Arabidopsis thaliana: one gene and its partner. The protein of the gene in region 1 interacts with the protein of each later gene in a pairwise test. Each region holds a gene or a part of one and is shown in the gene's direction. Other genes may lie near its edges.

The links.
Region 2: the proteins of RR10 (region 1) and CRF6 interact in a protein complementation assay, tested with the Arabidopsis thaliana proteins (one study listed by BioGRID).

What each region holds. Positions count from the first base shown.
Region 1 is NC_003075.7:15,443,553-15,449,176, reverse strand, and holds RR10 (response regulator 10), read left to right. Parts: upstream 1-2,134; 5' UTR 2,135-2,410; coding exon 2,411-2,537; intron 2,538-2,993; coding exon 2,994-3,146; intron 3,147-3,250; coding exon 3,251-3,589; intron 3,590-3,669; coding exon 3,670-3,746; intron 3,747-3,840; coding exon 3,841-4,695; intron 4,696-4,779; coding exon 4,780-4,887; 3' UTR 4,888-5,124; downstream 5,125-5,624. Other genes in the region: BAT1 (HXXXD-type acyl-transferase family protein), read right to left, coding at 5,481-5,624. UniProt on the Arabidopsis thaliana protein: Transcriptional activator that binds specifically to the DNA sequence 5'-[AG]GATT-3'. Functions as a response regulator involved in His-to-Asp phosphorelay signal transduction system.
Region 2 is NC_003074.8:22,803,360-22,807,187, forward strand, and holds CRF6 (cytokinin response factor 6), read left to right. Parts: upstream 1-1,820; 5' UTR 1,821-1,914; coding exon 1,915-2,862; 3' UTR 2,863-3,168; downstream 3,169-3,828.

The sequences.
Region 1 (5,624 bases):
TCTAGTAAGAGTAATAGAGTAGGAAGTGATTAGGAAGCAACCGAACAAGAAGCATATTTTATGACCGGTGTGGTTAGCCCTTGTGGGAGACAAGATTACCTCAATTTTTGGCTAATCTTGATTTTCCTCCTCCATTTTATTATTACTTATTTTCTTTCTTTTTATTATTATTTTTATCAGCATCTTTCTCTTTAATTATTTTTCTTAAAATTAAACATTACACCAAAGTGTTGCTGTTAATTTCTCATATTTAAATGTGAATAGATATATACTATATACTAATATACATGTGTGTATCCTATATGAGACCATAAGCCAATGACAGTAGGTATTAGCTAATGACAAGTGACTTCCAATAACTTATTAAGAAGTAGAATCTTTACAGATTTGATGTTTACATGGATCTTCTAGAAAACTGATTTCTTTAATCTCTCTAATGTCATCTGCAACTATTTAACATACACACACACAAAATAAAATAAAATTGGAAGAGCTAATGATAATGATTTGTATTAGAAAGTTGTCCTTTATTTTCCAATGCATTGCATCGAACATATGTTGATGTTCTTTTAAAATCGTAAAATCTAGTTCTGTATTCTTTTATTCTAGGTTTATCAAGGCTTTGTCACAAGACAATGAGAATACAACTTTTCTCTAATTTTCTTCATATACTAAATAAATTATCGTAGATTTGTAGAAGGTTCTTAGGCTAGATTCAAAAAGTCATTTAGGATCTCTTTCTAGATCTTGCATTTTTTTTAGTAAATCTTATGCTGGTGATACTTTTATTAAACCTTATGATTCTAATTTGGAAAACAAAACTAACTGATAACCTATTTTACATTAATAAAAACGATGCATAATTGTAATAATGTTTTATTTTTTTATGTTAATAAGCTAGCCAAAACATATTATTGATCCGAAGTACGCTATTTTCTATAAGAAAAGGAGAGGCACGGAAATGAACACGCTGTGTGGTTAATCCAAGAAATCATACAAAATTAATTCATAAACTATAATAAAATCATTGGGATCTTATTTTGCACCCACCAAGCTTGTAGGCTGAAGATGCGGATGGAACCCAACTTCAAGAAATTCTTGCCTTTTGTTTTATGGCTTTTTTTTGTCTTGTCATAGTTATATAAATGTATTTTGCTAAATTTAAACGGACAATCAAATAAATAAATAATATATAATTTGTAGTTAACAACTAAATTCAATGACTAATATCATGTAACAATAGACTTGTGACAGCAGTTTTCTTTGTTGACTTCAAAGTTTAATTCGAGCGTACGATACATTTGGTCGGTGATAAATATCGTGCTATGAGTTTAATTTGTTGACTTGAAAGTTTTATAAACATTGTGAACCATTGTAACATGTGTTTCTTGATTATACATATTCCTAAAATTAATTTCATATGGTAAGAGTGTAAAATTATCCAAGTAATGGTGTAAATTTTAAAAGTCTTTTTTTTTTTTTTTTTTCATCAATTTTAAAAGTCTTTCTCTGACGTTAAAAATAGTCTTGTCTTAGGTTTGAATAATATCGGCATTAGCCATTATTGGTCGTTACTATGGGATACTTAATTTTGCTAAATCTTTCAGAACCTGTACGAGATAAGCGAAAAAGCCATGAACCACGGTCACGCGTGTCTCGCACTTCCCAACTTTCACCATGCATGCTCTCACTAAAGCCTGTCTTTTTTTTTCTTTCTTTTACATATTTTAAAATCATAATACCATAATTTGCACTAATTCTTATGGTAAATCCGTTTTATGAGATACTCAACTTAGTTGTCCATTCCTTAAGACACAGATTAAGGAAAGTATTCAATTCTTTTTGAAGTTATGGTAATAACTCAAATTCTTCTTTCCTGCCTTGAATACTTGGTACAATATCACAAACATATCTCTAAATTAATTACATGATCTGCAGAATCATTTACATAAACACTTTCACATTTTTATCCATTTAAAAAAAAAAATATTATGATCCTCTTTCCTTTTCAATTAATTATCACTAAACTAAAAAATATTATTCCCACAGTCAAAAGAAACCAAACTAATTTAAAAAAGGTGGCGCGTGATTATCACGCTCAAATGACCGATCGGTTCCACTGAATTTTCTCAGAGATTCTCCTCTGAAAATGTTTTTTGTTTTTTTCTTATGTCAAAAAGAAAATTTACCAGAAATGATTAAAATTTGAAAAGAGAATTCCATAAATGAGTTAATTCGCCAGTCTTGAAGATCATTACAGAGTTTTCAGAAACCATATGTAGTCTTAGATTCTCTTTTGCCAAAGAAGAAAATTTTACTCTGCCATACAACTTTTTGTCTCTTTCTCTACTAATAATAATAATCCGAACTTTGTTTGTTCTTCTACTTCAATTCATAATCTTTGACGGCGATGACTATGGAGCAAGAAATTGAAGTCTTGGACCAGTTTCCGGTTGGGATGAGAGTTCTTGCTGTTGACGATGACCAGACTTGTCTCCGTATTCTCCAGACTTTGCTTCAGCGCTGCCAATATCACGGTTTGGTTCCTTCTCTCTCTCTCTCTTTGTTTTTTTTTAATACCAAATTTCTTGATGTTTTCTAGATTTTGGATTTGGTTAAGCTACAAAATTTAACATCAGATTCGTTTCTTGTCATAACACCATAAATCGATTCCTCTCTAGATTTTTATATTTTTGAAGACGAGCTTGAAGAATCAATTAAGACTATATTAGCTAGATTCACTCTCTGCATATTTTTTTACTTTTAAAAATCCATGCTTCAGATTTTGTTGCTTCACTTGTGTTTCAAAGGTCATTGGTTCTTGTTCGTTCGATTTGAAACAGTCTCTTGTTCTGTAAAAATTGAGACTTTGGGGAATTATTACATATTTGATTGCTCCCCATGTGTCACAGAGCCATTGGTTCTTGCTTTACTACTTTTGAATGAGTCAAAACTGAAACTTTGTGGGTGATTATTATTATTGTAATGTGCAGTTACAACAACGAATCAGGCACAGACCGCATTGGAGTTGTTGAGGGAGAACAAGAATAAGTTTGATCTTGTTATTAGCGATGTCGACATGCCAGACATGGATGGTTTCAAGCTGCTTGAGCTTGTTGGTCTTGAAATGGACTTACCTGTCATAAGTATGCAGCTCTCCTTGTTCTAGTTCATAGTTCCTAGAGAAAGTTTTGATCGTTAGACAGATTTGACTGTTTGAATCTTTAACATGATGATTGAATTCTTGCAGTGTTATCTGCGCATAGCGATCCAAAGTATGTGATGAAAGGAGTCAAGCACGGTGCCTGTGATTATCTGCTTAAACCGGTTCGAATTGAGGAGCTTAAGAACATATGGCAACATGTTGTGAGAAAGAGCAAACTTAAGAAGAATAAGAGCAATGTGAGTAATGGTTCAGGAAACTGTGATAAAGCAAACAGAAAACGTAAAGAACAGTATGAAGAGGAGGAAGAGGAAGAAAGAGGGAATGATAATGATGATCCAACGGCGCAGAAGAAGCCTCGTGTTCTTTGGACGCATGAGCTGCACAATAAATTCCTAGCAGCTGTTGATCATTTAGGCGTTGAGAGTAATGTTTCTTGATCTCTCTACCTCTAGTTTTCATTTAGCTGTGAATCATGTTCTGATTTATAAGTATTGATGATGCAGGAGCTGTTCCAAAAAAGATTCTAGATCTGATGAATGTTGACAAACTCACTAGAGAGAATGTTGCAAGCCACCTTCAGGTGAGAGTTAGACTATGATTCTTCAGATTTGATCTGTTAGTGTTGATATATGTATGATTCCATTAAACACATTTGTAATGTCTTTTGGTTGCAGAAATTCCGCGTTGCTCTGAAGAAGGTGTCTGATGACGCCATTCAACAAGCTAACAGGGCGGCTATTGACTCACATTTTATGCAAATGAATTCTCAGAAAGGACTTGGTGGCTTCTACCACCACCACCGCGGAATACCTGTTGGATCCGGTCAGTTCCATGGTGGAACCACAATGATGAGGCATTACTCTTCAAATAGGAATCTTGGTCGTCTGAATTCCCTTGGAGCAGGAATGTTCCAACCAGTCTCATCATCGTTTCCTCGTAACCATAATGATGGAGGAAACATACTTCAGGGTTTGCCGCTAGAAGAGCTTCAGATCAACAACAACATCAACAGGGCTTTTCCAAGCTTTACTTCACAACAAAACTCTCCAATGGTAGCTCCCAGTAATCTGTTACTTCTCGAGGGTAACCCGCAGTCATCATCTTTACCCTCAAACCCGGGTTTTTCTCCTCATTTCGAGATCAGCAAGCGTCTAGAACATTGGTCAAACGCTGCATTGTCAACCAACATTCCACAGAGTGATGTTCATTCAAAACCTGACACCTTGGAATGGAATGCGTTCTGCGACTCAGCTAGTCCGCTAGTAAACCCAAACCTGGATACAAATCCGGCATCTCTCTGCAGAAACACGGGTTTTGGATCCACAAATGCTGCACAAACAGACTTCTTTTATCCATTACAGATGAATCAGCAGCCTGCAAACAACTCAGGTCCAGTGACAGAAGCTCAACTGTTTAGAAGTAGCAATCCAAACGAAGGTTTACTCATGGGACAACAGAAGCTTCAGAGTGGTTTGATGGCTTCTGATGCTGGTTCCTTAGATGATATAGTCAATTCCTTAATGACACAGGTATTGTATACAATAAAAACCATTTACTTTTTGCACCTTATTCTTTTGGAGATTTCTGAAGATTTGTTACTTTGACTGTAACAGGAACAGAGCCAATCTGATTTCTCGGAAGGTGATTGGGATTTGGATGGTTTAGCTCACTCGGAACATGCATACGAGAAACTCCATTTTCCCTTTTCTTTGTCAGCTTGAGAAACCTGTTTTATTCAGACACAATCAATTATTATTATCTTTTGGTTCTGTCTCTTCTCTCTTCTCTGTAATGAAAGTGTAAGCTATTGTTTACCGCTCCCCCACTGGTTTGAGCAACTTAGGAAGATCCAAATCCATAAATAAAATTCAAAAAGTACCCTCTTTGCTACAAATGTAAAGGTGTTTTGAAGAGGAAGTCAAAGTCTTCGTGTCTAAGTGCAAAATAACGTTAGAATCAAAGTAGTACAATGATTTGTACTACCAGCCTAAATCGGCCCCATATGCCCAATAACCTGGCTTAGGTGTCAACCACCCAACATTGGCGACCTTAAGAAAAAAGTCTACAAAGAAACATAACTTTATAATTATTTATCCAGAAATTCTGGAAGAAAATAAAGCCTATCACGAAATGAGTATAAAAGTGATAACGACAACAAATACAAAGCAGAGAGATGTCATTAAATTATACATCATCATAACCCAATTACAATAAAGTGTCTTTAGCGCACACGCATGCATATAGAGGAGCCATTATCATACTGTATACTACCACAAAGATTCTACTAATTAATTAATTATCACCAGCTAATATATTAGCAATCAAGGAAATGATTTGAAAAGCCATTAACATCTCGTGGGTCCAAGCCAATCCTCACAAGAACACCTTTGGCATCTTTAGGGTTCTTCATGAAATAAGCAACTTGTGGCACCGGTGGACACAGTGGGGCCATGTAATC
Region 2 (3,828 bases), on another chromosome or scaffold:
TATTTCAAGTATGTATTAGTAATAGTAATATAGTATCTAGATCAATTTCTAAGTCAATAGTATATTGATAGTAGTATCAACGTGTCGGGAGTTACGTGTGGCAATGCCGACAAATGAATGCAAAGTGAGGTATATGAAAATGACGGGTTCCTGACGGAGGAGATGATGGAATTATTTACTAAGGTTTGCTAACATCTTCTTTTTTTATGTATGTATGTTTGGATCAAAAAGTATACAAAACCATATTAGACAATTTAAGAGAGACCACTCTCTAGTCTCTACCTAGTAAAAGTAGTACCTACTACGACTATCCTAACGAATGTCATGCAATTTAATGTTCCATATACAATTTTTTTTTTTTTAATATATTAAAAACAACCCAATAGGGCATGGGCTAAGACCCAATACACAGATGAAATCCAGTTACAAAATAGGTTAAACAGAAAAAGTCACCGACAAACAAAGAGGTTCGAACCTTGCTGCTGGTCGGAAGCAGAGTGGTCGGAGCCTTATATCTGGCGGACTCAAGCATCACAGCTTTGCGGCCGCAGACGACGGATCGAGAAACGCAGCTGGAAGATTCCGGTTTCCATCTGCACCTATCTCCGCCGTCGCACCAACCCACCACAACTCTCCCAGAAAGCTAACCACTCCGACTTACCGGTTCCGCGATATCTGTTCCATGCCAAGCAACCCGATACACTAGAGTTTAACCCCTCTCCGACTTAATGTTCCATATACATACTACTAACTATTATTAAATCAAACTGACTGTTATTTTTAAGGTCTAACTTTTAACACGAGTACCTGACTAATCCCACGTAAAAAAAAAGTCTTGAAATCACATGTATCTTTTTATAAAATCACAGGTGAATTCGTGTAAGTTATATAAGGTTCAAAATAAAACAATATAGAATTACTGTAAGTTACAAGATTTGGTATATTAACTTGTAGAATTATCGATATAATAAAAGCTTATTTTTCAATTATTATTTTAGGACCAAATCTAGTCAAAGCTCAACCATTAACTATGGAAATCTAATTTCTAGTTACCTTTTTAATAGTAGCTTTTTCTAATAAAGTTTCTGATAAGAGACTTGGTCTCCAAGCAAAAGATCATAAATTTTTTCCGAAATTAAAAATATATTTTAATATTAAAGACGAGATTTTATTACTCTTTCAAACACATCGTTAGATTCATTACCATTAAACTTCACAATTTCCATATTGGGTCAATGCGAATTGACACATACTCGTGACCAATCTCACACGCGTGGAGCCCACTAGCCGGCGCGTGTAGCAAACGTAAAACAGACCGCGCGTAAAAGAGTTAAAAGTTGCTTGGAGACCAAGCTATAGATTAGGACAATTGGCTCTACTTTCGGTACGGTAACTACCACGTGTCATAAATCTAACGTCTCAATCTGAGATGCGGAAAGCCGTTTCTGGATCCCCCATTGGCCGCCACGAAACCGCCCTTAAGCATCGTCCCTCTTTACATTAAATCCAAATCTAATTCCCGGTTTATAAACTCCATTAACCGGATTAAATTTCAATAGGTTAAGCTTTGATAAACGTATGTCATTTCACCAACTATATTTTAAGATACGTTTAGTTATAAGGTTGAATGAGTTTTGATTGGGTCAGTGTCTCATATCATATGAATAGTGTTGAACACGCATCAATTTCTCTGTAACAGTTAAAATCTAATTAAATTAATTACATAGAAAAAATCACGTTACTAAACAAAAATCTCCAAAAATAGTGATGAGTTAATAGTATTTAAGAAGGATGTTCCTGAGAAACGGCGATTCTTCTTTAACCTTTTGACTCTTCTTCTCTCTCTCTCTGCAAATTCAAAACAGTGAAAAAAACCTCTCTTCATTTTTTAACTCCCTCTCTCTCTCTCTCTCTATGGAGAGACGAACGAGACGAGTGAAGTTCACAGAGAATCGTACGGTCACAAACGTAGCAGCTACACCATCTAACGGGTCTCCGAGACTGGTCCGTATCACTGTTACTGATCCTTTCGCTACTGACTCGTCTAGCGACGACGACGACAACAACAACGTCACGGTGGTTCCAAGAGTGAAACGATACGTGAAGGAGATTAGATTCTGCCAAGGTGAATCTTCTTCCTCCACCGCGGCGAGGAAAGGTAAGCACAAGGAGGAGGAAAGCGTAGTGGTTGAAGATGACGTGTCGACGTCGGTGAAGCCTAAAAAGTACAGAGGCGTGAGACAGAGACCTTGGGGAAAATTCGCGGCGGAGATTAGAGATCCGTCGAGCCGTACTCGGATTTGGCTTGGGACTTTTGTCACGGCGGAGGAAGCTGCTATAGCGTACGATAGAGCCGCGATTCATCTCAAAGGACCTAAAGCGCTCACGAATTTCCTAACTCCGCCGACGCCAACGCCGGTTATCGATCTCCAAACGGTTTCCGCCTGCGATTACGGTAGAGATTCTCGGCAGAGCCTTCATTCACCGACCTCTGTTCTAAGATTCAACGTCAACGAGGAAACAGAGCATGAGATTGAAGCGATCGAGCTATCTCCGGAGAGAAAGTCGACGGTTATAAAAGAAGAAGAAGAATCGTCGGCGGGTTTGGTGTTCCCGGATCCGTATCTGTTACCGGATTTATCTCTCGCCGGCGAATGTTTTTGGGATACCGAAATTGCCCCTGACCTTTTGTTTCTCGATGAAGAAACCAAAATCCAATCAACGTTGTTACCAAACACAGAGGTTTCGAAACAAGGAGAAAACGAAACTGAAGATTTCGAGTTTGGTTTGATTGATGATTTCGAGTCTTCTCCATGGGATGTGGATCATTTCTTCGACCATCATCATCACTCTTTCGATTAAAAATCTCTTCTTTTTTGGGGAAATTTTTGTGTGGTGATGATGACGTGGATACATCGTGACCGTCGGCTTACCTTTTTTAGTCTGAATGACGTGGACTGTTCAGATCAACTGAAGCGCAAACCCAAAAAAACTAGGGTTTTGTTTTATTAATTTGTGGGTAAATATTTTAGTTAAGAAGAAGATAAGTATGTTAATGTTTATCAAGGTTTGGACCTTTCGTTGTTTTGGTTCCTCTCTCTGAGATTGTCTCAACGGTAGGAAGCAGTATATAAATGTGTTTCTATGTCTATAAATTATTTATGAAAAACAAATCGTATGGAATTTTATTATGATTATGCGACAAGTGAAACAAGTCTTTACTTCGAAGTAAAAAAACAAAAAAAAAACTTATTCACAAATAGAATTGTCAGAACAGTCTTGGAAATTCAAGAAAAGTCATGATCTTGACTAATTATAAATGAATGATTGTATCATATTATTGATATCATCTTTTGTGATTAGAGATCAAAAAATATTTATATATATAGTACTTTAAAATATAAAAAATTATATTTTAAATAGTAATCACCATGCACCAACACCTCTCTTCTTCTTTTTTTTTTTTTTTGCATATGCAATTGTTGTTTTGTTGTGACAAATAAAATAAAACTGTGGTGCTCCTATCTACCAATTATTATGAAGCGATGTCATGGTTTACTTATCGCTTTCTACAAAAATGTTCTCAGTCATGTAGAATTGGTGCTGGTTTTGTTGAGTGTATTAAATGTAAATCCGTATCCTTTTTTTATATATAACATAAATCTTTAATATAAAGTATGTGACAAATTGTGAAAAATCTTATGATAAATAAAATTTTTAAATTTTTAAATTTTATCATGGAGTTATTTTTTAATTAATATATGGTTGATAAAAAAAAAAATCTAAATTTAATTCATACTATAGACTCCATATTTTTTATACGGTAGA